Linked DNA regions of Anolis sagrei. Each later gene encodes a partner of the first gene's protein in a complex. Links are inferred from orthologs where the notes say so. Each region holds a gene or a part of one and is shown in the gene's direction. Other genes may lie near its edges.

Evidence for each region. Proteins that work in one complex are often made in the same cells at the same time.
Region 2: the proteins of EIF4E2 (region 1) and TARS1 are in contact, whole or in part, in a crystal structure (PDB 5XLN), measured with the Homo sapiens proteins. The link is inferred for Anolis sagrei from reciprocal best matches to the Homo sapiens genes EIF4E2 and TARS1. Residues at the interface, in NP_004837.1 of Homo sapiens: His54, Pro55, Leu56, Gln57, Val91, Glu92, Phe94, Trp95, Arg96, Glu149, Asn150, Leu153, Leu156, Gly157, Glu158, Gln159, Met161, Val203; in NP_001245366.1 of Homo sapiens: Pro51, Glu52, Tyr53, Ile54, Tyr55, Thr56, Arg57, Met60, Tyr61, Ile63, Leu64, Glu67.
Region 3: the proteins of EIF4E2 (region 1) and GIGYF1 are in contact, whole or in part, in a crystal structure (PDB 5NVK), measured with the Homo sapiens proteins. The link is inferred for Anolis sagrei from reciprocal best matches to the Homo sapiens genes EIF4E2 and GIGYF1. Residues at the interface, in NP_004837.1 of Homo sapiens: His54, Pro55, Leu56, Gln57, Tyr64, Lys83, Gln84, Ile85, Gly86, Val91, Glu92, Trp95, Arg96, Phe97, Tyr98, Ser99, His100, Met101, Val102, Arg103, Leu107, Phe113, Ile137, Arg138, Leu139, Arg140, Gly142, Leu143, Ser145, Arg146; in NP_001362694.1 of Homo sapiens: Leu36, Ala37, Asp38, Tyr39, Arg40, Tyr41, Gly42, Arg43, Met46, Leu47, Leu49, Tyr50, Glu53, Asn54, Lys55, Val56, Pro57, Glu59, Leu60, Glu64, Phe65, Ala67, Val68, Leu69, Gln70, Asp71, Glu72, Pro73, Leu74, Gln75.
Region 4: the proteins of EIF4E2 (region 1) and EIF4EBP1 are in contact, whole or in part, in a crystal structure (PDB 5NVN), measured with the Homo sapiens proteins. The link is inferred for Anolis sagrei from reciprocal best matches to the Homo sapiens genes EIF4E2 and EIF4EBP1. Residues at the interface, in NP_004837.1 of Homo sapiens: Glu53, His54, Pro55, Leu56, Gln57, Tyr58, Tyr64, Arg66, Lys83, Gln84, Ile85, Gly86, Val91, Glu92, Gln93, Trp95, Arg96, Phe97, Ser99, His100, Met101, Val102, Leu107, Phe113, Glu149, Asn150, Leu153, Gly157, Glu158, Gln159; in NP_004086.1 of Homo sapiens: Arg51, Ile52, Ile53, Tyr54, Asp55, Arg56, Phe58, Leu59, Met60, Cys62, Arg63, Ser65, Val67, Thr68, Lys69, Thr70, Pro71, Pro72, Asp74, Leu75, Pro76, Ile78, Pro79, Gly80, Val81, Thr82, Ser83.

Annotation. Positions count from the first base shown.
Region 1 is NC_090023.1:265,347,296-265,355,060, forward strand, and holds the start of EIF4E2 (eukaryotic translation initiation factor 4E type 2), read left to right. Parts: upstream 1-4,757; 5' UTR 4,758-4,780; coding exon 4,781-4,866; intron 4,867-6,959; coding exon 6,960-7,074; intron 7,075-7,765. UniProt on the Homo sapiens protein: Recognizes and binds the 7-methylguanosine-containing mRNA cap during an early step in the initiation. Acts as a repressor of translation initiation.
Region 2 is NC_090022.1:280,718,787-280,725,867, reverse strand, and holds the start of TARS1 (threonine--tRNA ligase 1, cytoplasmic), read left to right. Parts: upstream 1-4,070; 5' UTR 4,071-4,205; coding exon 4,206-4,223; intron 4,224-4,436; coding exon 4,437-4,517; intron 4,518-7,081. UniProt on the Homo sapiens protein: Catalyzes the attachment of threonine to tRNA(Thr) in a two-step reaction: threonine is first activated by ATP to form Thr-AMP and then transferred to the acceptor end of tRNA(Thr).
Region 3 is NC_090026.1:2,531,677-2,538,900, forward strand, and holds the start of GIGYF1 (GRB10-interacting GYF protein 1), read left to right. Parts: upstream 1-4,213; 5' UTR 4,214-4,381; intron 4,382-4,584; exon of another isoform or gene 4,585-4,671; intron 4,672-7,224. UniProt on the Homo sapiens protein: May act cooperatively with GRB10 to regulate tyrosine kinase receptor signaling. May increase IGF1 receptor phosphorylation under IGF1 stimulation as well as phosphorylation of IRS1 and SHC1.
Region 4 is NC_090027.1:10,773,172-10,780,527, reverse strand, and holds the start of EIF4EBP1 (eukaryotic translation initiation factor 4E-binding protein 1), read left to right. Parts: upstream 1-4,345; 5' UTR 4,346-4,402; coding exon 4,403-4,544; intron 4,545-7,356. UniProt on the Homo sapiens protein: Repressor of translation initiation that regulates EIF4E activity by preventing its assembly into the eIF4F complex: hypophosphorylated form competes with EIF4G1/EIF4G3 and strongly binds to EIF4E, leading to repress translation.

The DNA of each region.
Region 1 (7,765 bases):
AATCTTCACCTTTGTACATTGTTGTAATTCACCTTGATTATTTAGTAAACAATTGTTAAACTTATTCTTGTTTATAGAGTTTTATTTTGGGGGAATAATAGTAATTAGGGCATATCGATGGTCACTGGGAAAATAGCCAGACACATTTAGGTTTCTTATTAGATGTTCCTGGTGTGCCATCACAGTGATTAGGATCCTGATCGGCTTGTAGCCGTTTCAGATTGCTTATAGAAAGTTATAAGAGAGAGCCCACTCCCTGCAAAGGGGGTGTGAGAGAAGAAAAAGCACTGTTTTCACAGTGATTAGGTGCCTGATCGGCCTTGTAGCCGATTCGGATTGCTTATAGAGAGAGCCCACTCCCTCAGTGTGTGTGTGAGAGAAAAAGGCACTGTTTCCACTTTTCCATTGGAAGGTGTAGCAACGTTGTGGGAATACTTGGGTGAAGTGTTGCTAAATTGAATAATTTTATAGTAAGGAGAGTTAGGGGCAGCTTTTAAAGTAAAAAAGCTGCCTGCCTGCCCTTTTAAAAGATATTGGAGGCTTGTTTCCTGTCAGAGAGTGAAAGGGGCAAGGCTAGCATCTGCTATTTGTCTTAAGGGGGCATTTGGCGCCAAAAGGGGTTTTTTACAGTTTGGCAGCCATTTTGTGTTCATCCTTTAAGGCTACTATAATAACATCAGAACTGTGACAGCCTTATTGTCCCCTCAAAAAGAAGCGGCAGCCATTTTGCCTATATAGATTTCTATGGGATTTGTGCTTATAGTTTAGAAAGAGCGGGAAAAGGTGTTTTGGGGCCTGTTTTCGCATTTTTCTGAGGAAAAGGAGTTACAATACTCTTAAACCTATTCCAGTAAATTGTTGTTTTGCTGTTATAGTATAGGTGGTGACAGCAGGCTGTGTGAACATTTTGCCTCACACTCAGTCCTCTTCACCCATATAGAGTTGTTGCCTCGGCAACCAGCAAACAACAAGAATGGATGGGCTTTCTGATGGAAGTGCAGACAGACATGTACACATTTCCCGTTCACATAGGGTTAGGCACCCCACAGAGAAGGCCCTACAGCTGTTGCTAGAAAGGGAAAGTCGTTTAATTGTGAAGGCAGAAAGTGCTTGGAAACACGTGCAGTATAGCATGAACACCTTGTCAGCTTCCAGAGACCCTGAGGTAATAGCAGTGCATAAAGAAGAGCTCCAGGATAGTTTTTTTACTCTGGAAAACTATTATAGAAAGGCAACAACAAGTCCTTACAAACATCAATGATGATGATGCCCAAGCAAGACTGCAAGCATTGTCATTGGACTATCAAAGTAAAGAAAGAGAATTTAATGCCGTGCTTGAAGCTGCACAGTTTCGGCTTCAGGAATTTCAGCTGAGGGAGGCTTACTCTTTATCCCCTCCTAGAAGCCCCAAGTCCAGCAAGGGTTTCTACCCTCAGCGTCCCCTAAGTGTCAGATCACTTAGCCACCATTCACATTCCAGCAAAAGTGCCTCATCTTCCTGCAGTAAGATTTCTTCTGTGGCAGCTCAACATTTCAAAGAAGTTGAGAGGATGAAGCTCAAGGCGCAAATATTGCAGGCAGAAGCTGAATCGGCTATGGCTGTGAAAGAGCTAGACTTCTCTCAACTAGAAGCTAGACAGGCCATTCAGCAAGCTGAAATGGAAGCCCAGTTATCAGCTTTACAAAGCAAAAGAAATATAACTGAAAAGGCTAAAGAAGCGGTCAAGCTTGCAGTTAAGGCAAAAATTCTTGCCAAAGCTTTTCAGGACGAGTTGATTCCTGAAAATGTTAAGCTGCTGCCTCAGGAGGACATCGAATCAAAGATGTCATTTCTTCTCCTGTCTGACAAAGATGTCACCACCAAAGAGCTAAGCCCTATCTATACCAACACAATAGAGGATCTGCCTAATGCGGAGGGGGAAAGATCTGCACCTCAGCATAACCATCAGCCATCAGCATCAGTCTTTCATGAAGATGAGGGTCCTGTCAAAGTGCAGAAGTCTACAGCGGGGAGCCAGTCCTTTATGCTCTCCACCTGTTCCCCTGTTCCTGCCACCTGGTCCCTCCCTGACCCCAAACCTGAGAAAGAAGTTAAAGTGGAGTTTTTGGACAATGCACCTTGTGTCCAGAATTCCTTCGCCAATCAAACCATAGCCTCAGGTGTGTCTCCTTTGGGTCAGGGCGAAGGTGCAGAAAGGGAAAAGGCAGTGTTTTCTGCACGAAATCAAATGTTTTCCATGCCATCTGTGGCCTGGAACCCCTCCTTCTTCAAAAGCCCCAAGAGAGACTTAAAAGATAAGGGTGATGATTTGAGCTTCTCCAAAGAAGAGCAAAGACTTCTGGACATTCCAAGCAAAGAAGGAGTGCAGTCGGAAGAGGGAAGCTGGATAGCTCCCCTTCCTTTTAAAGACAATAAGCCTGACAAAGTGAGATCAGCCTTTGACTCCAGTGATACATCTGGCACTCCACCTAGCCTTCCACACTCACAGCAGGTGCTGCTTGCCAAAACTGTTGAGAAAGAGGCTCCATGTTCCAGTGGCTGCAACCCAGATTTTCTGGGGTCCAGTGCTCATGCATTCCATTGTGATTCTGAGCAGCTTGAGGCGACAGAGGCAGTGTTCCCTGCAGCATTGCCATCCCACAAGAAGGCATTGCTTAAAGAGTCAGCTTGTCAGGATTCCATTCCTTTGGAGCCGAACACTGTGCCTGATACCAGCAATAGGCCAGATAGCAACAAGAGCATTTCCTGTGCTGAGCCAAGTCGGTGGATTCATGTTGCCGCTGAGGAGAGACCTGCAGATATCATTTCCCGAGGGGCGTCTGCTCGGAGGTTGCTGCATTCCAGCTGGCTGTCGGGTTCCGAATGCCTCGCAGACCCAGGTTCTTCAAAGGACAACACCTTTCCAGAGCTTCCTGAGTCAACTCCAGAGAAGAAAGGTTTGACAGCACTCCAACGAGGACATCAAGGTATGAGACATTGCTTTAAAGGACCAAAGTGCTTCCTGGAACTATTGGCTTATGGGTGTCACCCAAGAAGAGTGTCCGAGTGTGGATGACCATATCAGGAAGACTCCAATCAAGACGGACTCCAACTGAAAGACTGATACTCACCAAAGACTTATCACAGACTTGGTGGTTTTATTAAAAGTTTAAAGTTTGTTGTATTTAATTGTATAAAGTGATTTGTTATAGTTTGTATATGCAAATTTGTTCCAAATTTGAGCGGGGAGTGTGATGTCTTGGCCTGTTTATTTCTCAGTTGGACTGTTCCATTTTACCAAGTTTAGGGGAGAGCTTAGGTTCCCCCTAGAGGCCGAGCTCGGTTGGTGTGCAGCCCATTCTGACTCAGAGCCAGAATGGGCTGGTTATAGAACTTTGTTTCCCTTTCTTTGTTAGTCTTAGCTTATAGATAGTTGCCAGATAGTGTCTGGTCTGGCCTAGCAATTTGAACAGGCCATCCTAATCACGTATTTGCCAAAGCTTATAGATAGATAGTCATAGATAGAATAGTTAGATTTGCCTTATAGATAGATTAGATAGTACATATACATAGAATAGTTATAGCCGTATTTGCCTTAGAGTTTATAGATAGATAGTTTGTAAATGCCTTATAGATAGATAGAATAGATAGTATTTGCCCTAAAGTTTATAATAGATAGTTCATAGATAGATAGTTACATCATTCCCCATAGTGTATAGTTATATTTACCTCAGAGTTATACCATCATAATTAATCTTCACCTTTGTACATTGTTGTAATTCACCTTGATTATTTAGTAAACAATTGTTAAACTTATTCTTGTTTATAGAGTTTTATTTTGGGGGAATAATAGTAATTAGGGCATATCGATGGTCACTGGGAAAATAGCCAGACACATTTAGGTTTCTTATTAGATGTTCCTGGTGTGCCATCACAATAATAATTATTTATTTAATAATAATAATAATAATAATAATTTAGATTTATTTTTATTTTATTTATTTAGATTTATTATCTAAATTATTATTTTATAATAATAATAATATAATTATTATAATATTATATAATAATATTGTAAATTATAATTATTATTTATTTAATAATAATAATAATAATTTAGATTTATTTTTATTTTATTTATTTAGATTTATTATCTAAATTATTATTTTATAATAATAGTATACTTATTATAATATAATATTATAAACTATAATTATTATTATTTAATAATAATAATAATAATAATTTAGATTTATTTTTATTTTATTTTATTTAGATTTATTTTATTTTATAAGGAATGATGTCCTGAGTTTATAAGTTGAGATCTAGGTCAATAATCAATAATCTTATTAGTTTACAAGTTGAGATATGTTTAAACAGGGGCTCGATGGCCATCTGTCAGGGGTGATTTGAATGCAATATTCCTGCTTCTGGGCAGAATGGTTGGACTAGATGGCCCATGAGGTCTCTTCCAACTCTTTGATTCTATGATTCTATATGTTTATGAGAAATGTTGTCCTAAGTTTACAAGTCGATATATATAAGAAACAATGTTCCAAAGTGAACCCGGAAATATCACATCTAGAAGTACAGAGATACCACTCTATATGTTCTATCTCTGCCTGTCGGGGAGCGGTCTTTCGAGTCTTTCGAACGCGGCTAATTTTACAACCATAGACAACTCGCGGCATAAAGAGCGGCCCACAGGAAGTAGTGTGGCCTGGATTGTAGTCCCGGGTCCGGGTGGAAACAGCAACCGGAAAAAGATTGGTTCCGCCTGGGCGGAAGTGAAGGGAGCGTATGGAGGCAGAGGAGCGGAAGTCCGGGGCAAGAAGCAAAGCAGCGGCTGGCGAACGACCGAAGAGGATGAACAACAAATTCGACGCGTGAGTCCGGGCCTCAGTGGCGCTTTTAGGCCTCAAGGCAACATCCTAAATCAAAGGAAGGAGCAGACAGTTTTCAATGGCATTCCTACAGGCCTGGTCGAGTTTGGGCCTGCCCTCCAGGTGTTTGGGACTCCAACTCCCACAATTCCTAATAGCCGGTAGGCTGTTAGGAATTGTGGGAGTTGGAGTCCCAAACACCTGGAGGACCCAAGTTTGGAAATACTTGTTTGTAAATATAAATCAAAACTTGTGATTGGAATGGCTTTTGGACTATGATTTCAGGGGTTATGTGCTATATCTCAACTGCTTATTTAAATATATTTATTTGTTGCTCTTTTATGATTTAATGCACAATGTATTTTGTATGTTGTAATGTAGCACTGAATTATTGCCAATTTGGAAGCCGCTTTGAGTCCCCTTCGGGGTTGAGATAGAGCAGGGTAAAAATACAATAAATAAATAAATAAATAAATAATAACCCCAGAAGAGCGGCTTACAAGTCATAAATACATACAACATACTACATAATACATAACTACCATAGTACTATTACATCATTCATAACACTAGTACTACATAATATTACATTATTGCTGGGGGAGGGGCGCTGATGTCACAGGGGACAAGATGGCAATGTCCTCCTGGCTCCCCTTGTTTATTCTGGCCCCAGAGTGGCCGTTGGTGCTGGGCATTACAGCAGGAATTGGCCCTGGATTGATGAATATGATTATTTGACTCTCTGGCTTTGGATCTATGCACAATAGTCATGTAATATTTACATATGTTGTTATAATGTTGTTTTAAATGGTTGATTAATTGCTTTTAATTGATATTGCTGTTTGGGCATGGAATAATGCCAATTATGTAAGCTGCCCTGAGTCCCCTTTGGGGTGAGAAGGGTGGGCTATAAATGTCCTAAATAATAAATAAATAAATATCTCCTGACTTCTTCCTATGTCCACATTAGGGAATATTACAAGATGAAATTGTCTCTTTTGGGTGATTTATTAAAGTCTGATTTTGTGTGCATAGATTTCCCCCTTTGACTGTGTCTGGTTGTGCTGTATTTTTACACACATTTGAAATGTGCACATTTTTCTGTTAGCCACATCTGCAGCCATCCAATAATGAAGCACTTTCAGATCCAATCTATTTAGTTTAACATCTAGTGAAGTTGAGTGCAATGGCTTTTCCCTTACCTTACCATTTACCTTATCTACACAATGTCATACAGTAGGGATAGGTAACTAAGTACTAAAGGTTGAGCATCTCTTATCTGAGATTCCAAAATACTCCAAAATGCTCAACATGAGTGGCTGGGATAGTTACACTGCTGCTTTCTGGTGGTTCAGTTCAGTGTACACAAACTTTGTTTCATACACAAAATTATTAAAAATATTTTGTATAAAATTACCTTCAGTCTATGTGTGTAAAGTGCATATGAAACATGAATGAATTTCACATTTGGACTTCAGTCCTACCTCCAAGATTTCACATTATGCATTTGCAATGATTAAAAACCAAAAATACCCAAAATGTGGATTTCCTGGTCCCATGCATTTCAAATAATGGATCCTCAACTTGCATTAAAAACTGCACTTGAAATTGGTGTAAACACATGCATCTGTTCAGTTCATTCTGTGTGTTCCCATTTTCCACGACTCTGAAGCTGAATTTGTCCATGTTTTCCCTGCATGTAAAACCCACAAATTCTTAGGATGGTAATGCAGAAAAGTTCTTTTATCACATTGAATCAGTGGTCTGAAATTGTAATCCATGAGCTATTTTGGAATTTGGTCCCTAACTAGTTTTGCCAATTCTTAGAAATTATAGAAGCTGAAGTCCAAAACATGTGGAGGACCAAATTTTCAGAACTACCCGACTGAACAGAAAAGGACAAGTAACAGGACACTTGTTCAGCATCCAAAGTGCAATTTCTGCTTCTTTTAAAAATCTCTGCTCTGTCTCAGTAGCCTGAATCCATCAGTCTGGTCTAATAATAACCACAGTCTGTCCTTTAGATTTTGTTCTATGCTAAACATAGTTGCTCCTTCATGCTTTCAAACTGATTCCTTCCTTCCTTTCTTTGCTAGTTTGAAGGATGATGACAGTGGAGATCATGACCAGAATGAAGAGAACAGCACACAGAAAGATGGTGAGAAGGAAAAAAACGATAGAGACAAATCCCAAAGTAGCATCAAGAGGAAGGTATGTCCTTGCCTCTTCCCTAGACTGAAGTGTCTAGTGGAGGATTGTGACAGGGGGGTTTTAACCTGTTGCTCCAGAACCAAGAGGATACCTGTGAATAAGTCATATTAAAGCCCATCAGGCCTCTATTCCATTTATCTCCTTGTGAAAGAAAACAGTGCAAACTTTTCCAGTGTGTTGATTTTGAAAGCAGAATCTGTAATGCAGGTAATACACCATTTCTACAGTTCACTAGAAGGATTGAGTTGTTGATGTGGAGATTTATTTTCTAAAGTCCAATTCCCAATACAAGGAGTTCATTCACACTACCTCAGAGGATGCTTGCCATAGATGCAGGCGAAACATCAGGAGAGAATGCCTCTAGAACAGGGGTCCTCAAACTTTGTAAATAGAGAACTAGGTCATAGTCCCTCAAACTGTTGGAGGGCCGGATTATAGTTTGAAAAAAAATATGAATGAATTCCTATGCACACTGCACATATCTTATTTGTAGTGCAAAAGACACTTAAAAAGAATACAATAATTAAAATGAAGATTTTTTTAAACAAATATAAACTTATTAGTATTTCAATGGGAAGTGGGGGCCTGTTTTTGGATGATGAGATAGGATTGTTCTTGTGTGCTTTCAAGTCATTTCAGACTTAGGTTGACCCTAAGCGAGGACTGGGTAAATGACCTTGGAGGGCCGTAT
Region 2 (7,081 bases), on another chromosome or scaffold:
GCATCCTCAGAGGTAGTGAGGTCTGTTGGAACTAGGAAAAAGGGTTTATATATCTGTGGAATGACCAGGGTGAGACAAAGGACTTTTGTCTGCTGGAGCTAGGTGTGAATGTTTCAACTGATCACCTTGATTAGCATATAATGGCCTGATAGTGCATGGAGCCAACTTTTGTTGAGAGGTGATTAGATGTCCTTGTTTGTTTCCTCTCTGTTGTTGTGCTGTTGCAATTTTAGAGTTTTTTTTAATACTGGTAGCCAGATTTTGTTCATTTTCATGGTTTCCTCCTTTCTGTTGCAATTGTCCACATGCTTGTGTATTTCAATGGCTTCTCTGTGTAGTCTGACATGGTGGTTATGACAGTGGTCCAGCATTTCTGTGTTCTCAGTGTGGACTCAGTTCTGTGTGGACTCAGATAACCCAGTTCAAAGCAGATAAATATAAATATAAATAAATAAATATAAGACTCTCGCAGTAAAATTAGGACAGTTGAGGACCATGCTGCTGATGGTCCAGAGTGCTAATTTTTATTGACTCCTCTTCTATGGCCTAATTTCCTGAGTGTTCAGTGCAACAGGATGTAAAACAAAACCATACAACTCACAACAGACCTAAGGTCATTAACAACTTTGTTCTGAAATATATAACATTGCTACCACCTACTGGTTGATTTTCTTTTTAACTATGAACCCATTTGTGCGAAGGCTGTTCTGAACACTTTCCCACCCACCGCATAGGCCTGACTGTGGCTCCATACGATTTCTGTCTCCAAACTCAAAACCCACCTCAAACGATATCATTTTGGGATAGCTGGAAACGTCCAGGTAGCTGCAACAAAGGCTTTCAACAACATCTCAACTGAAGACTTCCTCCACTGTGATAAAGAGGGGCAGCAAGGCTGGGAACTCTGTATTTGATCACAAGGAGCCTATTTCGAACTGCAATTGCATGTTGTTCAATAAAAAACAAAATCGTCGAAGGCTTTCATGGCCGGAATCACTGGTTTGTTGTAGGTTTTTTCGGGCTATATAGTCATGCTCTAGAGGCATTCTCTCCTGACATTTCGCCTGCATCTATGGCAAGCATCCTCAGAGCATCCTCACTACCTCAGAGGATCCTTGCCATAGATGCAGGTGAAACCTCAGGAGAGAATGCCTCTGGAGCTTGGCCATATAGCCCAAAAAAACCTACAACAACCCAAAAACAAAATCATTCTCATTACTTTTGGGACAAACCACGTATAAGGTATATTCCCAGGAAACAAAAACCATGACAAATATGCCCCATATCATACTAGAAAGCATTTCAGGGCAAAATATAAATAGAAAGAAATCCTTCAGATTTTTTTTCAAAATTTCTGGAGGATTTTGTATCATAGGCCTTGCACCCTTTTGTGAGCTGCCCCTGTTGAGTCCCAGCAGGGTGATTTTGCAAATATAAGCGGCTGCAGGGCAGGCAACATTAACCTGACCTGACCACGCTTTGTCGTTTAACCTTGCTTTTTATCTCTTGTTTGTTCAAGGCAGTTGGCAATGAGAATCATTTGTACCTATTTCTCTTGTGTATTCTGTTACCATTTCCAGGGTAACTTTGCTGTTCCCTTTTCTCTGAATGCCTAACATCTCTCTCTCTCTCTCTCTCTCTCTCTCTCTCTCTCTCTATATATATATATATATAAATGTAATGTTAGTTTGTGGGATTAACATAACTCAAAAACCACTGGACGAATTGACATCAAATTTGGACACAAGACACCTGTCACGCCAACGAGTGACCATCGCACATAAAAAACAACAGTGAAAGGGACTTAAAAAGCCAAAAAATGCAAAAAGGCACTACAGCGCATGTGCAAAAACGACTCCCCCTGGCAAACAAAAAACACAATAGCATATCCACACTCTCTTCCAGACTACAGCTCCCAGCATCCCCTAGACCAGGACCTTTAGGAGAGGAGGGGGATCCAAATACACTGCTTCCAAGCTGCAAGCTTTCTTCTCCTTGGATTTATTTGAGAGCATCCGAATTCCTGCACATTTCCAAATTTCTATTCAACTCCCAGCAATCCTCCAGATAGATAGAGATCAGTAGGTAGGTAAATAGACAGGTGGATCAGGAGGACTGCGGGGTGTTGCAGTCCAAGAACAGGTAGAGATGGGAGAAAGGGGAGAAAGAGGAAGGGAAAAAAGGTGGGGGTGGAAGGGAAGAAAAAGAGAAGGAAGGAAGGAAAGGGAGGGAGGGAAGGAGGGAAAGAAGAGAAAGAGGGAGGGAAGGTTGGCCACAGCAACGCGTGGCAGGTATAGCTAGTGTATTTCTAAATGGTCACATGAAGTTTAAATATTGCTGCAATGCTAGAAATATGTGGACTAAAGGAAATTTTCTATGGGGAGAATCAAAATTCTTCTTCTGAGCTGCAATGTCTTCCTTTGTGTCTTCCCCTCTCCTTTCACAGCTACTGGGCAAATATCCAAGTGCATTATGTAGGATTTCTCAACCTGGGTTTCTTTTTTCTTTTTAGCCTGATAATGTATGACAGGTTTGTAGCCATGTGCCAACAATGTATTTTAAAAACTAAATGTACATAGCAATTAAAATAATTAATATCTGATTTTACACTGTATTTTCCATTTCCTGCATGGCATGGATTAACCAATAGCTCCTTAATAACAATGCTTAATTATAGGGGGTTAAATACCCTCAAGGCATAGGATCCTCTCTGATTTTGGAAGCTAAGCAGGGTCAGCCTGATCAAGATCTGGATGGGAGACAGCCAATGAATAATACCACACACTGTAAGCTGCATTTCAGTGGACGAGCTTACTCTAAATATTCCATGCTTCAGAAAACCTATGAAAAATTCAACAGGCGATATGTTGAGTGAGTGGGCTTATCAACAAAATACACACATACACGCACATGCATACATATATGCAATAGAATATAACGATAGAATATATATATATATATTCTATATATATAATCTATATATATTGCTGTGCTTTCTGGAGATATATGTATGTATGTATTCATTGAAGATTTCCCCTGACCCACTTCCTGTGGGCTGAGAGCAATGAAACTTGGCACAGTTATTAGTACTTCTCTACATAGGTGCCACCTAGGGACACACACTTTCCCCATCTTTTTAAGCAACTGCTAAAACCTATCTTGTAGAATTTGACAGGTTGCTCCAAAAGCTATGTTGTGACTTCGGAAGTCAGAGTCTCATCATCTGAAAAATGCTTGCTCTTCAAAAATAACTTCATTGTTGGAAAGTAGTGGAAGTCCGATGTTGCGATGTGAGGTGAATTCTATTGTCAAGAATTCAATGACTGCCCATTGCTTAAGTCGCATTGACTGACCGTCTGCGCAAGGTTCCATACTTCACACTTTGACAACACAACCGTTCAATGCTAAGGCTTCCCGCCAAGATGGAACTGTAGAGGAGAGTCTACTGAACAAGCCAGTACCTGCCGCATACCAGTACTGCCATCTGTTGAGGAGTTACGAAGATGGAGGCATTACTTTTCATTCAACCCTTGTATGTATGTGTATATATATATATATGTGTGTGTGTGTGTGTGTATAATACATTATATTATATATACCTTAGAATAAATATAATTATATATAAATAATTATATAATTATATAAAATATATTATTATAATTAATATATATATAATACATTATATTATATATTATAATATATATAATTATATAAAATATATAATAATTATAATTAATTAATATATAATACATTATACATATATATGTATATATACACATATAATATATTTTTCTGTCTACCATTTATCTATCTCTCTATCTAACATAGATAGATACATAGAGAGATAATATATCTAGCTCTTTATTAGTTAAGGCGCAGCTACAATATTTTGAGAAGGGTTTTGCAACCTATCTCCAGCTGGGACTGACATGAAAGTGTCTCCCTTTCAGGGAAAGCCCCTTCCACGCATGCGCGCCTGATACACGTCCTGGGGAAGAGCGTACTGGACTCCAACTCCCATGAGCCTAAGCGATGACGCCACACGCCCCGCCCCCTCGCAGTGACGCAGAGCGAGCCACGCGAACCCCTGGTTGCATCAGCTGCCGCGCCTGCGCAGTGCACTCATCCCAGCCGGGCGGCGTGTTCCGGGTTCTGCTTCTGGTGCTGTCATTGCCGGCGTGGTCTGGAGGGTCCAGGCGGGGAGGATGGAGGCGGAGGCACAGGTAAAGGGGAGGAGGCTACCTCCAGACTCGTAGGGTGCATCTAGAGCTGACTTGGGCCAACTTGGGCCCTCCAGGTGTTTTGGACTCCAACTCCCACAATTCCTAACAGCCTACCGGCTGTTAGGAATTGTGGGAGTTGGAGTCCAAAACACCTGGAGGGCCCAAGTTGGCCCAAGTCTGCTGTACACAAATCTCAGTTGTTTTTCTTTATAGGTTGCAGTTGCTGGGGAGAAAAAGAAAGAACCAGGAAAGAAGAAATGCAAGGAGGAAACTGGCAATGGGGGCTGCGCAGAGGTAAGTAGCCAGGCATAGGGAAGATTCTGCATTTTACACCCTGATCTTGATCCTGTTTACCAGGCAATACATTGCCTTGATTTTCCCTGCAAGTAAAAATTGTTGTGTTTTCTGGAGATATATATATGTGTGTGTGTGTGTGTGTATATATATATATGGAATATCTGTCTCTCTACATACATATACATGCTAATAATAATAATAATAATAATAATAATAATAATAACACTTTATTTATACCCCAAATAAAAGTTTTTTGATACTAAAACATCAAAAAAATCATCCAGGCGTCCCCTGGGCAACATCCTTGCAGATGGCCAATTTTCTCACACCAGAAGCGACTTGCAGTTTCTCAGGTCACTTCTGACACAACCAAAAAAAATGTATACCTCGCTACAATGTCCAATCTCGATAAAATAGTAAAGAGTAGAGACATCACACTGGCAACAAAGATCCGCATAGTCAAAGCCATGGTATTCCCTGTAGTAACCTACGGATGTGAGAGGTGGACCTTAGGGAAGGCTGAGCGAAGGAAGATCGATGCTTTTCATAGAATCATAGAATCAAAGAGTTGGAAGAGACCTCATGGCCCATCCAGTCCAACCCCCTGCCAAGAAGCAGGAATATTGCATTCAATATTGCTTTTGAACTGTAGTGTTGGAGGAAAGTTCTGAGAGTGCCTTGGACTGCGAGAAGATCCAACCAGTCCATCCTCCAGGAAATAAAGTCCGACTGCTCATTGGAGGGAAGGATACTAGAGACAAAGTTGAAGTACTTTGGCCACATCATGAGGAGACAGCAAAGCCTAGAGAAGACAATTATGCTGGGGAAAGTGGAAGGTAAAAGGAAGAGGGGGCGACCAAGGGCAAGATGGATGGATGGCATCCTTGAAGTGACTGGACTGACCTTGAAGGAGCTGGGGGTGGTGACGGCCGACAGGGAGCTCTGGCGTGGGCTGGTCCATGAGGTCACGAAGAATCAGAGACGACTGAACGAATGAACAACAACAAACCATCTCCCCAGAGGACTCGGTGTGGCTTACATTACGCCGAGCCCAGAATACAACAATACAAGCAATGACAACAACAATACAAGCAATTTAACAACAATAATACAAACATATATATATATATATATATATATATATATATATATACACACACACACACACACACACACACACACACTGTTTTCTGGAGCCATAGATATGTATGTGTTATATATAATAGATTTCTATCCATCATATATATACATACATATACATAACATACATACACATGCATATATATATTTCCCCCAGGGTTGAGAAAGGCAATATATAAATACTGTAAATAAAAAATAAAATAAAATAAAATAATATAATCCATATAAATAAAAATGTAATGCTCGTTTGTGGGAGTAACATAACTCTAAAACCACTGAATGAACTGACACCAAATTTGGACACAAGACACTTAACAAGCCAATGTATGTCCTTCACTCAAAAAAATTCATTTTGTCATTTGGGAGTTGTAGTTGCTGGGATTTATAGTTCACCTGAAATCAAAGAGCATTCTGAACCCTACCAATGATGGAATTGAACCAAACTTGGCACACAGTTCTCTCATGACCAACAGAAAATACTGGAAGGGTTTGGTGGGCAGTGTCCTTTGGTTTTGGAGTTGTAGTTCACCTACATCCAAAGATGACTGTGGACTCAAACAAGGATGGATCTGGACCAACTCTACATGAATACTCAATATGTCCAGATGTGAACACTGGGGGAGTTTGGGGGAAATAGAATCTTGAGATTTGGGAGTTGAAGTTGCTGGGATTTATAGTTCACCTACAATCACAGAACATTCTGAACCCCACCAAGATAGAATTGGGCGTAATCTCCCACACAGAAACCCCATGACCACCAGAGTGGGCCACAGCAACGTGTGGCAGGGGACAGCTAGTCTATATAAATAAAAATGTAATGTTCGTTTGTGGGATTAACATAACTCAAAAACTACTGGATAAATTGGCACCAGATTTGGACACAATATACCTATCAGTCCAATGAGTGACCATCACTCACAAAAATACCTAACAACACAGCAGATAAGACTTTAAAAAGCTAAAAAATGAAAATTACATTACAACGCACGCACAAAACTACACATGTACACAAATATACACACACACATATATACACACAAAACACACACACACAGACTGGGCCACAGCAACACATGGCAGGGAACAGCTAGGTATAAATAAAAATGTAATGTTCATTTGTGGGATTAACATAAAAAATTACTGGACGAATTGACACCAAATTTGGACAAAATACATGTATCAGGTCAGCAAGTGACCATCATTCATAAAAACACTGAAAAACACACCAGAAGAGACTTAAAAGCTAAAAAATATATAATTATAATGCATTAACAAAATCACACATACACATATATTCAAATATACATATATACACAAATATTTATTTATTTATTTACGGTGTGTGTGTGTGTGTGTGTATGTGTATGTGTGTGTATATATATATATATATATTACTGTGGTTTCTGGAGATATATGTATGC
Region 3 (7,224 bases), on another chromosome or scaffold:
GCTGTTAGGAATTGTGGGAGTTGAAGTCCAAAACACCTGGAAGGAAGGCTGAAGTTGGCCCACACCTGTACTTGAATGTTTCCTCTAGGAAACACCATCCCTGGCTCCAAGGTCCAATGCTTCTCATTGCCATCTCCTTATGTAGTGGTTATTAAAATAGTGCCATAGGTAGGTTGTTGTTGTTGTTCATTCGTTCAGTCGTTTCCGACTCTTCGTGACCTCATGGACCAGCCCATGCCAGAGCTCCCTGTCGGCCGTCACCACCCCCAGCTCCTTCAAGGTCAGTCCAGTCACTTCAAGGATGTCATCCATCCATCTTGCCCTTGGTCGGCCCCTCTTCCTTTAGCCTTCCACTTTCCCCAGCATCATTGTCTTCTCTAGGCTTTGCTGTCTCCTCATGATGTGCCCAAAGGACATCAACTTTGTCTCTAGTCTCCTTCCTTCCAGTGAGCAGCCGGGCTTTATTTCCTGGAGGATGGACTGGTTGGATCTTCTCGCAGTCCAAGGCACTCTCAGAACCTAGGTACAAATCCCAAATTTCAGGCCTTCTACTTCTAGTTGTAGTAAACGTTAATTTGGGTTGCCCTGACTTTTCTGGGCTGTATGGCCATGTTCCAGTAGCATTATCTCCTGATGTTCCACCTGCATTTTTGACAAGCATCCTCAGAAGTTTGTTCAGAGCTCTGTTGGAAGGGAGGCAAGTGGAGTGTATATACTATACCTGTGGAATAATGTCCAGGGTAAATCTGAGATAATATTGGAGTAAACCTGTGGTAACATTGAAGTAAATCTAAGGTAATACTGGAGTAAACAGGAGGTAATATGGGAGTAAGCCTGAGGTAATACTGAAGTACATCTGAGGTAATGTGGGGGTAAATTTGAGGTAATGTATGGAGTAAATATGAGGCAATATTGCAGTTATCCTGAGGTAATATGGGAGTAAACGGGAGGTAATATGGGAGTAAACCTGAGGTAATACTGAATTTGAGGTAATGTGGGGGTAAATTTGAGGTAATGTATGGAGTAAATATGAGGCAATATTGCAGTAAACCTGAGGTAATATTGGAGTAAACCGGAGGTAATATGGGAGTAACCTGAGGTAATACTGAAGTAAATCTGAGGTAATGTGGGGGTAAATTTGAGGTAATGTATGGAGTAAATATGAGGCAATATTGCAGTAAACCTGAGGTAATATTGGAGTAACCCGGAGCTAATATGGGAGTAAACCTGAGGTAATACTGAAGTAAATCTGAGGTAATGTGGGGGTAAATTTGAGATAATGTATGGAGTAAATATGAGGCAATACTGCAGTAAACCTGAGGTAATATTGGAGTAAACAGGAGCTAATATGGGAGTAAATCTGAGGTAATACTGAAGTAAATCTGAGGTAATGTGGGGGTAAATTTGAGGTAAAGTATGGAGTAAATATGAGGCAATATTGCAGTAAACCTGAGGTAATATTGGAGTAAACTGGAGCTAATATGGGAGTAAACCTGAGGTAATACCGAAGTAAATCTGAGGTAATATGGGGGTAAATTTGAGGTAAAGTATGGAGTAAATATGAGGCAATATTGCAGTAAATCTGAGGAAATATTGGAGTAAACAGGAGCTAATATGGGAGTAAACCTGAGGTAATACTGAAGTAAATCTGAGGTAATGTGGGGGTAAATTTGAGGTAATGTATGGATTAAATATGAGGCAATATTGTAGTAAACTTGAGGTAATATTGGAGTAAACTGGAGCTAATATGGGAGTAAACCTGAGGTAATGCTGAAGTAAATTTGAGATAATGCTCGGTGAGAGTATGATAGCTGGGTCTGGAAGCGCCAAGCGTTACGCCCATTCCGCAACAGTGGTTCTGAATAAGGGAAGGGGAGAATGGGACACTGAGGGCGGGAATATACTTCGTAGTTGCATTTGGTGAAAGGATAGAAAGGTTTAGTAAGGTTAGGGTTAGGGGTGAGACTTAGGGTTAGGGTATGGTTAGGGTTAGAATTTGGATTAGGATTACGGTTTGGATTAGGATTAAGGTTAAGGTTTAAGTTTATGGTTATGATTAGTTAGGGTAAGGTTTAGGGTTGGAATTAGGGTTTGGGTTAGGATTAGGGTTAAGGTTTAGGGTAAGGTTTACGATTAGGGTAAGGTTTAGGGTTTGGTTTAGGATTACAGTTAGGGTTAGGGTAAGGTTTAGGGTTTGGTTTAGGATTACAGTTAGGTTCAGGGTTAGGGTTTGGCTTGGGGTAAGGTTTTAGGTTTGGGTTAGAATCAGGGTTAGGATTACGGTTAGGATTAGGGTTAAGGGTTAGTCTTAGGCGTAGGGTAAGGTTTAGGGCTTGGGTTAGAATTAGGGTTAGATTTCAGGTTTGGGTTAGAATTAGAGTTAGGATTAGGGTTTGGGTTAGGGTAAGGTTTAGGGTTGGATTAGGATTAGGGTTAGGGTAGGGTTTATGGTTAGGGTAAGGTTTGGGGTTTGGGTTAGAATTAGGGTTTGGTTTAGGATTACAGTTAGGTTAGAATTAGGATTAGGGTTAAGAGTTAGGAATAGGGTTAAGGGATAGGGTTCAGGTTAAGGGATTAGGGTTAGGGTTTTATCATTAAAGAACTCTGACATTCCTTCTGCAATGCCTGTGTTCCTTTCTGTGTTGTGCAAACAGGGCTCCCAAAGTAGCGAAGTGGAAAGAGCGTAAGGCTCAGAGCTGCTTCCGGACCCACCTCTCATGCCTAATGCTCGAGTAAATATGAGGTATTGTCGAAGAGTTTCATGGCTGGAATCACTGGGTTGTGATTAGGGTGAAACATTCACACCTAGCTCCAGCAGACAAGAGTCCTTTGTCCCACCCTGGTCTTTCCACAGATATATAAACCCATTTTCCTGGTTCCAGTTGCTTCTCTAATCACCTCTCAACAAAAGATTTCCCCAGGCACTGCCAGGCCATCAAATGCTAATCAAGGTGGTCAGTTGAAACATTCCCACCTAGCTCCAGCAGACAAGAGTCCTTTGTCCCACCCTGGTCATTCCACAGATATATAAACCCATTTTTCCTACTTCCAACAGACCTCACTACCTCTGAGGATGCTTGCCATAGATGCAGGCGAAACGTCAGGAGAGAATGCCTCTGGAACATGGCCTGACATCCTGAAAAACCTACAACAACTCAAATATGAGGTAATATTGAAGTAAACCCGAAGTAATATTGAAGCGAACCTGAGGTAATATTGGAGTAAAGCTGAGGTAATTTTTGGATGAAGGAAAACAGGTAATTAATGGAGTAAACGTGCTGCAACTTTGAGAGGAACTATGGTCTATTATTCCGATGCAATCCGACCTTTAGTACAAATATTTCGTGCCCACGTCCCCTTTTGCTGACGTCATTTTGCGACTCGATGGCGGAGAGGTGGTGATGACGTCACGGGCTAGGCCCAGGCGGGGATCACGTGACGAGGGCGAGGGCCGACCAATCCCCTTCGGCATTTCTCTCCGGGAGCGCGCCTCTAGCGGCGAGAGCGCGCCAAAGCAGGCAGGCAAGGTCACGTGGACACCGCTCCTCCGATCTCGTACAAATGCCCTTGCGCCGCTTTGCGCACGCGCGGATGAGAGCGGCGAGACGATTATACCAAGTACAAACCGTTCTGGGCATGCGTACATTTAAACTCCCTTAACCTAGTTCGCGCATGCGTGCAAGAAAACCCCTTAGAGCGGCTTTTCCTAGTTTGCGCATGCGTGCAGGAAAACACCTGAGAGGCTTTTCCTAGTTTGCGCATGCGTGCAAGAAAAACCCCTTAGACCTTTCCTAGTTTGCGCATGCGTGCAAGAAAAACCTCAGAGAGGCTTTTCCTAGGTTGCGCATGCGTGCAAGAAAACACCTGAGAGGCTTTTCTTAGTTTGCGCATGCGTGCAAGAAAACCCCTTAGAGAGGCTTTTCCTAGTTTGCGCATGCGTGCAAGAAAACCCCTTAGAGAGGCTTTTCCTAGTTTGCGCATGCGTGCAAGAAAACCCCTGAGAGAGGCTTTTCCTAGGTTGCGCATGCGTGCAAGAAAACCCCCTTGGAGAGGCTTTTCCTAGGTTGCGCATGCGTACACAGAAAAAGCGAGTTCGAATCTTCTGCGGCTGCGCAGTACCACCCTTTCCATTCTTTCCCCTTCAAGCCCCGCCCCACTCGTCTTGTTCCCCCTGGTCTGCGCATGCGCGCTAGGCTCAGTCGCGTCACGTGACGAGAAGGAGGAGGGCGGCCATTTTGGTTACAAACACAAACAAGCGGCGAGAGGAGGACGGAGCTCCCCGCGAGAGAGAGAGAGAGAAGGAGAGAGAGAGAGAGAGACGCGGATCCGCGCCGAGGCCACGCCTCCTCCTCCTCTTCCCCCCTCCCTCCCCCAGCAAAAGGTAAGCCACGCCCCCTCCCGTTGCCATGGAAGCCCCCCTCCCGCCGTGCCCGCTCCCTCGGGGCCACGCCCACCCGCTCCGTCGCCTAGGAGACCCCTCCCCCCGCCCTCCTCGGCTCCCTCGCCGGCCCCGCCCCCTCGCGTTAGGGCAGGCGGCGCTGCGGCGGCGGAAGTCCCGCCTCCCCACTTCCGCTTCCCGCCCCTCCTTTCTCTGGGTCTGAGGAGACCCCGCTCCTCGCCCCTTCCCTCCTCGCCCGGGGCCAGTGGCCGTGCGGGTGGGCTTCGGCTCTGGTAAGGAGGCCTCGCCAGGCCGCGCGCATGGGCTGGACTCGATAGGCCGGGCTTGGGCCAGCTTCCTCCCTCCAGCTCTTTGGGACTCCAACTCCCACAATTCGGGACAGGCTCAGGCCTTTTCCTCTCCCTCCTCAGCACCCTCAGGCCTTTTTATTTTCCTCCTCAGCAGCCTCAGGCCCTTTCCTTTTCCTCAGCTCTTTTCCTTTTCCTCCTCAGGAGCTTCAGGATTTTTCCTTTTCCCTCTCAGCAGCCTCAATCCTTTTACTTTTCAGCAGCCTCAGGTTCTTTCCTTTTCCTCCTCAGCAGCCTCAGGCCCTTTCCTTTTTTCTTTTTTTTTTACCTCAGCAGCCTCAGGCACTTTCCTTTTCCTCTACAGCAGCCTCAGGCCTTTTGCTTTTCATCAGCAGCCACAAACCCTTTCCATTTTCTCCTCAGCAGCCCCAGGGCCCTGCCTTTTCCTCAGCCTCAGGCCCTTTTAATTTCCTCTTCAGCAGCCTCGGGCCTTTTCCTTCTCAGCAGCCTCAGGCCTTTTCAATTTCCTTCTTAGCAGCCTCAGGTCTTTCCCATTTCCTCCTCAGCAGCCTCATTCCATTTCCTCCTCAGCAGCCTCAGACCTTTTCCATTTCCTCCTCAGCAGCCTCAGGCCCTTTCCTTTCCCCCCTCAGCAGCCTCAAGCCCTTTCCTCTTCCTCCTCAGGAGCCTCAGGCCTTTTCCTCATCCCATTTCCTTTCCCCCCTCAGCAACCTCAGGCCTTTTCCTTCTCAGCAGCCTCAGGTCCTTTCCTTTTTCTCCTCAGGAGCCTCGGGACTTTTCCTTTGCCTTCTCGGCAGCCTCGGGCCCTTCCCTTTTCCTCAGCCTCAGCCTCTTTCCTTTTCCCTCTCAGCAGCCTCAGGCCCTTTCCTTTTCCTCTACAGCAGCCTAAGGCCTTTTACTTTTCATCAGCAGCCACAGGCCCTTTCCATTTCCTCCTCAGCAGTCTCAGGGCCCTGCCTTTTCCTCAACCTCAGGCCTTTTCCTCAGCCTCAGTCTCTTTCCTTTTCCTCCTCAGCAGCCTCATATCTTTTACTTTTCCTCCTCAGTAGCCTCACGGCCTTTCCTTTTCCTCCTCAGGAACCTCAGGCCTTTTACTTTTCAGCAGACTCAGGCCCTTTCCATTTTTTACCTCAACAGCCTCAGGTCCTTTCCTTTTCCCTCTCAGCAGCCTTGGGCCTTTTACTTTTCATCAGCAGCCACAGGCCCTTTCCATTTCCTCCTCAGGGCCCTGCCTTTTCCTCAGCCTCAGGCCATTTCCTTTTCCTCCTCAGCAGCCTCAGGCCTTTTCCTTTTGCGCAGCCTCGGGCCCTTTCCCCCCTCAGCAGCCTCAGGCCCTTTCCTTTTCCTCCTCAGCCTCATTCCACATTACAAGGCCTGAGTTGGAAGAGACTCTAAGCCAGGCCTGGGCAAACTTGCACCCTCCAGGTGTTTTGGACTTCCATAAGTGGCTGAGTGGGAAAAGGATGGGGCCTGAGGCTGTTAGGAATTGTGGGAGTTGGGAGTCCAAAAGACCTGGAGGGAGAAACTTTGCCCGAGCTGCTCTGTGGTCTGATTCCACCTCCACATTCGGAAGAACCTCCTGGCAGTTGAAGTTCTGCAGAATCTCTTTCTCTGGAGGGTTTTAAGCATAGGCTGCATGGCCATCTGTCGGGAGGGCTCGGGCGGTGTAGGGATCTCTCCCAGTTCTCGGATCCTGCCCTTCTTGCTTACACCCATTGCAATTCCCTGGACAGCTGGCCCCAGTTAAGATCCAAGAATCTTGTTCTCAAGCACTTTACAATGTTTATCCAAATCCTTGATGATAAATCGCTCTTATCCTCATTGCTGCTATATGATATTTGCACTTTACCCATTAGTTCTATCATTAGCTCTTTCCTTTAATGTTGTGGCACCATCCATGACAAGACATTGAACTTTGCTTTTGGTTGTTTGGTTTTGATGTTTGTTTTATATACCGCTTAATGTTGTTGTTGTTTTGTTGACATGCATTTTAATGTGTTATGTTTTAACTGTTTTGTTGGGCTTGGCCCCATGTAAGTTCCCCCTAGTCCATTTGGGGAGATTGAGGCAGGGTATAAAAATAAAGTTATTATTATGGCACAGTGAGAGTGCTTGTCGAAATACATTTTAATAATATATATAATATAATAAAATAACTTTATATCCCGTCCTATGTCCCTGAAGGGACTCAGGGCCTTTATGTACCTGTACTGTTTCTGCAATGTTGATGTGTTTTCATTTATTTTGAATCCCGCCTTGAGACATGAGGAGAGGTGGGTAATAAATAAAATAATAATAATAATTAGTAGTAGTGTTACTACGTTCCACCGGTGTCCCTTGTTCTGGGTGCATCTACACCAGACTTGCACAGTCTTTGGTCCTCCAGGTGTTTGGACCTCCAATAATAATAATAATAATAATATATCTGTAGCCCGCCCTATCTCCCCAAGGGGACTCAGGCGGCTTCCAGCATAATAAAGGCAAATATTCAATGTTGGTATAAAACAGAAGTAAAAA
Region 4 (7,356 bases), on another chromosome or scaffold:
TGACAGCTATAAATAACCAATCAATCCAACTATATATTGTAGAAGGCTTTCATGGCCAGAATAACTGGGTTGTTGTATGTTTTTTCGGGCTATATGACCATGGTCTAGAGGCATTCTCTCCTGACGTTTCGCCTGCATCTATGGTAAGCATCCTCAGAGGTAGTGAGGTCTGTTGGAACTATATATCTGTGGAATGACCAGGGTGAGACAAAGGACTCTTGTCTGCTGGAGCTAGGTGTGAATGTTTCAACTGACCACCTTGATTAGCATATAATGGCCTGACATTGCCTAGAGCAAACTTTTGTTGAGAGGTGATTAGATGTCCTTGTTAGTTTCCCTCTCTGTTGTTGTGCTGTTGTAATTTTTGAGTTTTTTTAATACTGGTAGCCAGATTTTGTTCATTTTCATGGTCTCCTCCTTTCTGTTGAAATTGTTCACATGCTTGTGTATTTCAATGGCTTCTCTGTGTGGTCTGATATGGTGGTTGTGAGAGTGGTCCAGCATTTCTGTGTTCTCAAATAATACGCTGTGTCCAGGTTGGTTCCTCAGGTGCTCTGCTATGGCTGATTTCTCTGGTTGAAGTAGTCTGCAGTGCCTTTCATGTTCCTTGATTCGTGTTTGGGCAACACTGCATTTGGTGGTCCCTATGTAGACTTGTCCACAGCTGCATGGTACACGGTAGACTCCTGCAGAGGTGAGGGGATCCCTCTTGTACTTTGCTGAACGAAGCAGTTGTTGGATTTTCTTGGTGGGTCTGTAGATAGTTTATAGGTTGTGTTTTCCCTTAATGTATGGCAAGAACACTTTTCCTCTGGGTAGCCATGAGAATAAAGATGAAGATCCGCCCAGTTTTCCTAGTTCCAACAGACCTCACTACCTCTGAGGATGCTTGCCATAGATGCAGGTGAAACATCAGGAGATAATGCCTCTAGACCAGTGTTTCTCAACCTAGGGGTCAGGACCCCCAGGGTGGTCGCAAGGGGGTGTCAGAGGGGTCACCAAAGACCATCAGAAAACAGTATTTTCTGTTGGTCATGGGAGTTCTGTGTGAGAAGTTTGGACTAATTCTATTGTTGGTGGGGTCCAGAATGCACTTTGATTGTAGATGAACAATAAATCCCATATGTCAAGGTCTATTTTCCCCCAAACTCCACTAGTGTTTACATTTGGGCATATTGAATATTCATGCAAAGTTAGGTCCAGATCCATCATTGTTTGAGTCCACAGTGCTCTCTGGATGCAAGTGAACTACAAATCCAAAACTCAAGGTCAATGCCCACCAAATCCTTCCAGTATTTTCCGTTGGTCATGGGAGTTCTGTGTGCCAAGTTTGGTTCAATTCCATCATTGGTGGAGTTCAGAATGCTATTTGATTGTAGGTTAACTATAAATCCCTGCAACTACAACTCCCAAATGACAAAATCAACCCCTCCAACCCCGCCAGTAGTCTAATTTGGGCGTATCGGGTATTTGTGCCAAGTTTAGTCCAGTGAATGAAAATACATCCTGGAGATCAGATATTTACATTACGATTCATAACAATAGCAAAATTACAATTATGAAGTAGCAACGAAAATAATTTGATGGTTGGGGGTCACCACAACATGAGGAACTGTAATAAGGGATCGCAACATTAGGAAGGTTGTGAACCACTGCTCTAGACCATAGCCATATAGCCCATAAAAACCTACAACAACACAATCCAACTATACATTTACAGGGTAAAAAGGCAAAATCGGGCTTGATACAACAGTTCAAATCCTGCAACTTACAGTTCTACATATAGGTGGTGCCACTCACACCGTCACACAGAGGTACAACACCTTTGTTCAGATGATTCATTGGAACTTGTGCCACAAACACCATCTGCCTGCCACAAAGGTCTGGTGGGATCACAGCCGCAAAAAGTTATGGAAAATGAACACGTCAAGTTACTCTGAGACTTCTGAATTCAGACAGACATAGTTTTGGAGCTCAACACTCCTGACCTCACGTTCATGGAAAAAAACAAAGTATAGATCATAGATGTTGCAATCTCAGGCGAAAGCAGGATTGCAGAGAAACAACTGGAAAAGCTGACACGATATGAGGATTTAAAGATAGAACTGCAAAGACTCTGGCACAAACCAGTCAAGGTGGTCCCAGTGGTGATCGGCACACTGGGTGCAGTGCCTAAAGACCTTGGCCTGCACTTAAACACAATCGGTTCTGACAAAATTACCATCTGCCAGCTGCAGAAGGCCACCTTTCTCTGATCTGTATGCATTATTGGCCGCTACATCACATAGTCCTAGACACTTGGAAAGTGTCCAAAATGTGATCCAATACAAAAGCCAACATAGTGATCTTGTTTGCCATGTGCCAATCTTGTTGTGTGTCAAATAGTAAAAATACCTTTTATTTATTACCCACCCCTTATTATAGTTCGAGGCAGGGTACAACAAAGTCAAAAACATGAACATAAAATAAGTATACAATGAATTACACAGATAAAAACACAAAAATATAAAACACTTGCACAAAACACAGATACAGAATTGACATATAATAGTAGTAGAGGGTAAATCAAAACTCATGATAAATTGACTCTTCTGCCAGAAGAGATGGGTCTTCCATTCTGACAGCTCTTTTAGGTCCTTTCTACACTGCCATATAATCCAGACTATCAAAGCAGACAATCCACATTATCTGCTTTGAACTGGATTATATGAGTCTACACTGTCATATAATCCAGTTCAAAGCAGATAATCTGGATTTTATATGGCGGTGTAGAAGGGGGCTCAGTGTATACTGTCATATAATCCAGTTCAAAGCAGATAATCTGGATTTTATATGGCGGTGTAGAAGGGGGCTCAGTGTATACTGTCATATAATCCAGTTCAAAGCAGATAATCTGGATTTTATATGACGGCGTAGAAGGAGGCCCACTCTACACTGTCATATAACCCAGTTCAAATCAGATAATCTGGATTTTGCATGCCAGTGTAGAAGGGAGCTCAGTCTACACAGTCATTTAATCCAGTTCAAATCCGATAATCTGGATTTTATATGTTGGTGTAAAAGGGGCCTCAGTCTACACTGCCATATAATGCAGTTCAAATCGGATAATACGGATTTTATGTGCTGGTGTAAAAAGGGCCTCAGTCTACACTGCCATATAGTCCAGTTCAAATCCGATAATCCGGATTTTATATGTTGGTGTAAAAAGGGCCTCAGTCTACATTGTCATATAATCCAGTTCAAAGTAGATAGTATGGATTTTATATGGTGGCGTAAAAGGGGCCTCAGTCTACACTGCCATATAATCCAGTTCAAATTAGATAATCCGGATTTTATATGTTGGTGTAAAGGGGGCCTCAGTCTACACTTCCATATAATCCAGCTCAAAGTAGATAATCTGGATTTTGTATGACGGTGTAGAAGGGGGCTCATTCTACAATGTCATATAATCCAGTTCAAAGCAGATAATCCGGATTTTATATGGCATTGCAGAAGAGGCCTCTGCCTGTACTGCTATATAATCCAGTTCAAATCAGATAATCCGGATTTTATATGTTGATGTAAAAGGGACCTCAGTCTACACTGCCATATAATCCAGTTCAAATCAGATAATCCGGATTTTATATGTTGATGTAAAAGGGGCCTCAGTCTACACTTCCATATAATCCAGCTCAAAGCAGATAATCTGAATTTTGTATGGCGGTGTAGAAAGAGGCTCTGTCTACACTGTCATATAATCCAGTTCAAAGCAGATAATCTGGATTGTATATGGTGGTGTAGAAGGAGGCTGAGTCTACATATAATCCGCTTCAAAGCAGATAATCTGGATTTTATATGGCGTTGCAGAAGAGGCCTCTGTCTATACAGAGGCTCCTTCTTTGGAAGCTTTTAAACAGGGGCTGGATGGCCATCTGTCAGGGGTGATTTGAATGCAATACTCCTGCTTCTTGGCAGAATGGGGTTGGACTGGATGGCCCATGAATGAGGTCTCTTTCAACTCTTTGATTCTATGATTCTATGATTCTATACTATCATATAATCCAGTTCTAAACAGAGAATCCGGATTTTATATGTTAGTGTAGAAGGAGCCTTAGTATCCCACAAAACTGTACATTTCCATAGAAGTTAATATGGTGGCAAAGGAATAGAGCAAAGCCACTTTTTGACTTTGGGACTTCAACTCCCAGAAGTCTCCGCTGACTGGGACAATGGAAGGGAATCCTGGGAATTGAAGTCCAGAAAAAAACATTCAGGGCTAAAACGGAGGCGGGGCTGTGAGAGCGGAGGGGCGTGTCCTGGCAGACGGGGGGCGGGGCTTCGACGGGGGGCGTCCCGGGAAGAGAGCGCGCCCGCCAGTGGAGTTTCCCCGCCGGAGAAGACACACGCAGGCAGTCAGTCCGCCATGAGCTCCGCAGCCACCTATTTCCGCTCTCCGCCGGCCTTGATCCCGGCCAAGAGGCTCCACTTGCCCGAAGGAGTGACCCTGCCCCCTGGAGACTACAGCACCACCCCCGGGGGGACCCTCTTCGGCACCACGCCCGGAGGTGAGCCGCGACACCTGGACGCTGCCTTTCTCGTGTTGACATCCCTGCAGTTGCTTCCTTAGCCCTTGGATGTGACTTTAAGACACGGGAATACTTAGCTCTGTTTTAGAATTGCAGTCTGAGTGTCTCTGAGCATGGGCAGAGTGCTGGCTGGTGCTTGTGGGCTGAGTGCCTCTCAGTGTGTGCAGAGTGGAGTCTTAATGTTGACGTTTGAGAGCTGAGTGTCAACATTATTAATGTTGACACTCAGCATCTTAAGGTTGATGCTTGAGTGCCGAGTGCCTCTGAGTGTGTGCAGAGTGCAGAGTGGCATCTTAATGTTGATACTCGTGTGCTGAGTGCCTCTGAGCATGTTCAGAGCTCTGGCAGACATCTTAATGTTGATGCTTGAGAGCTGAGTGCCTCTGAGCATGTGCAGAGTGCAAGGTGGCGTTTTAATGTTTATCCTTGTGGGCTGAGTGCCTCTGAGCATGTGCAGAGTGGCATCTTAATGTTGATACTCGTAGGCTGAGTATGTGTAGAGTGCTGGGTGGTGTCTTAACGTTGATACTTGTGCGCTGAGTGCCTCTGAGCATGTGCAGAGCGCAGTGTGGCGTCTTAATGTTAATACTTGTGGGCTCAGTGCCTCTGAGCATGTGCAGAGTGCTGGGTGGTGTCTTAATGTTGATGCTTGTGGGCTGAGTGCCTCTGAGCATGTGCAGAGTTTTGTCTTAATGTTGATACTCGTGGGCTGAGTGCCTCTGAGCATGTGCAGAGCGCAGCGTGGCGTCTTAATGTTGATACTTATGGGCCGAGTGCCTCTGAGCATGTGCAGAGTGGTGTCTTAATGTTGATGCTTGTGGGCTGAGCGCCTCTGAGCATGTGCAGAGTGATGGCTGATGTCTTAATGTTGATGCTTGGGTGCTGAGTGCCTCTGAGAGTGTGCAGAGTGCTGGGTGGCATCTTAATGTTGATGCTTGAGAGCTGAGTGCCTCTGAGTATGTGCAGAGTGCTTGTGGGCTGAGTGCCTCTGAGCATGTGCAGAGTGGTGTCATAATGTTAAAATTTGTGAGCTGAGTGCCTCTGAGCATGTGCAAAGTGCAGGGTGGTGTCTTAATGTTTCTACTTGTGGGCTGAGTGCTTCAGAGCATTCAGCCCACAAGCACTGTTGCTTGAAGCCAGCCTTGAACCGCATTCCATGGTGAGTGCAGACCTGGTTCTTCTGTGTTTCTCTCCTCTCCTGCCTGGGGAGTGTTTTGCAGAGAGGGCCCTTCCCAGCCTGGCAGGTTCAATGCTGGATCAGCGCTCATGGACCAGAGCCTGCATCAGATGCCCGCTGTGTTATTTTCCAGTTGGCAGGCACATGGGTGGGATGGACACAGGCGGAAAGAATGTCACCGCTTGCACCCCAATGGAGCGCAGCACGGAATGCAATGTTAATGCTTATTTATCCCACTGGAGAACAGGCCATGGGTGCAACTACGCTGCAGAATTAATTCAATTCCATCCCACTTTAATTACTCAAGGCGATGAAGTCCTGGGATTTGCAGTTTGTGAAGGACGCACCAGCATTCATTTATTGGCGCAATGAGTTAAATCCTTGTGCCAACAGGACTGAAGACTGACAGGTCAGAGGTTCGAATCTGCGGAGAGCGCAGACAAGCTCCGTCTGTCAGCTCCAGCTCCCCGTGTGGGGACATGAGAGAAGCCTCCCACAAAGATGGTAAAACATCAAAACATCCGGGCATCCCCTGGGCAACGTCCTTGCAGACGGGCAATTCTCTCACACCAGAAGCGACTTGCAGTTTCTCAACCCTAAGCATATTTAAGTGGAAGATCTGATGCAATTCCAGAGTAAAAGTTGTCGATTGCATAAGACTTAGCAAGGGATGGGAAACCGTCACAGTTTATTTCATTGGACTGATAGTTATCAGCCTTGCGTGCAAACTTGTCCTATGTCTTGTCAAATGCCGGAATCACTAGGTCACTGTGACTTTCTCAGGCTGTATGGCCATGTTCCAGCAGCATTCTCTCCTGACGTTTCGCCCACGTCTATGGCAGACATCCTCAAAGGTTGTGAGGTCTTGTCGAAGGCTTTAATGGCTTGATTCACTGGGTTGTTGTAGGTTTTTCGGGCTATATGGCCAAGTTCTAGAAGCATTCTCTCCTGATGTTTCACCTGCATCACTACCTCTGAGGATGCCTACTGTAGATGTGGGTGAAATGTCAGGAGAGAATGCTTCTAGAACATGGCCATATAGCCCGAAAAACCTACAAAAACCCAGTTGTGAGGTCCATTGGAAGCTAGACAAGTGGGGTTTCTGTGGAATGTCCAGGGTGGGAAAAAGAACTCTTGTCTGTTTGTTGCAGTTGACCGGTTTGGTTAGCATTGAATGGCCTTGCAGCTTCAAAGCCTGGATGCTTCCTGCCGGGGGAATCCTTTGTTGGGAGGTGATTAGTTGGACCTGATTGAGAGCCATTGCAACATACCTGAGTGCCTCTGACCACGTGCAGAGTGCTGAATGACGTCTTAATTACAGAATGATTCATAGGTTGCCTTGGGGTCCACATCTCCGCTGTAGAATTAATGCAGTTTTACATCACTTTAATAACCATAGCTAGATGTATTGTTGAAGGCTTTCATGTCTGGAATCACTGGGTTGTTGTGTTTACTGGGCTGTAAGGCCATATTCCAGAAGCATTCTCTCCTGACGTTTCGCCTGCATCTATGGCAGGCATCCTCAGAAGCATTCTCTCCTGACGTCTCGCCTGCATCTATGGCAGGCATCCTCAGAAGCATTCTCTGCTGACATTTCGCCTGCATCTATGGCAG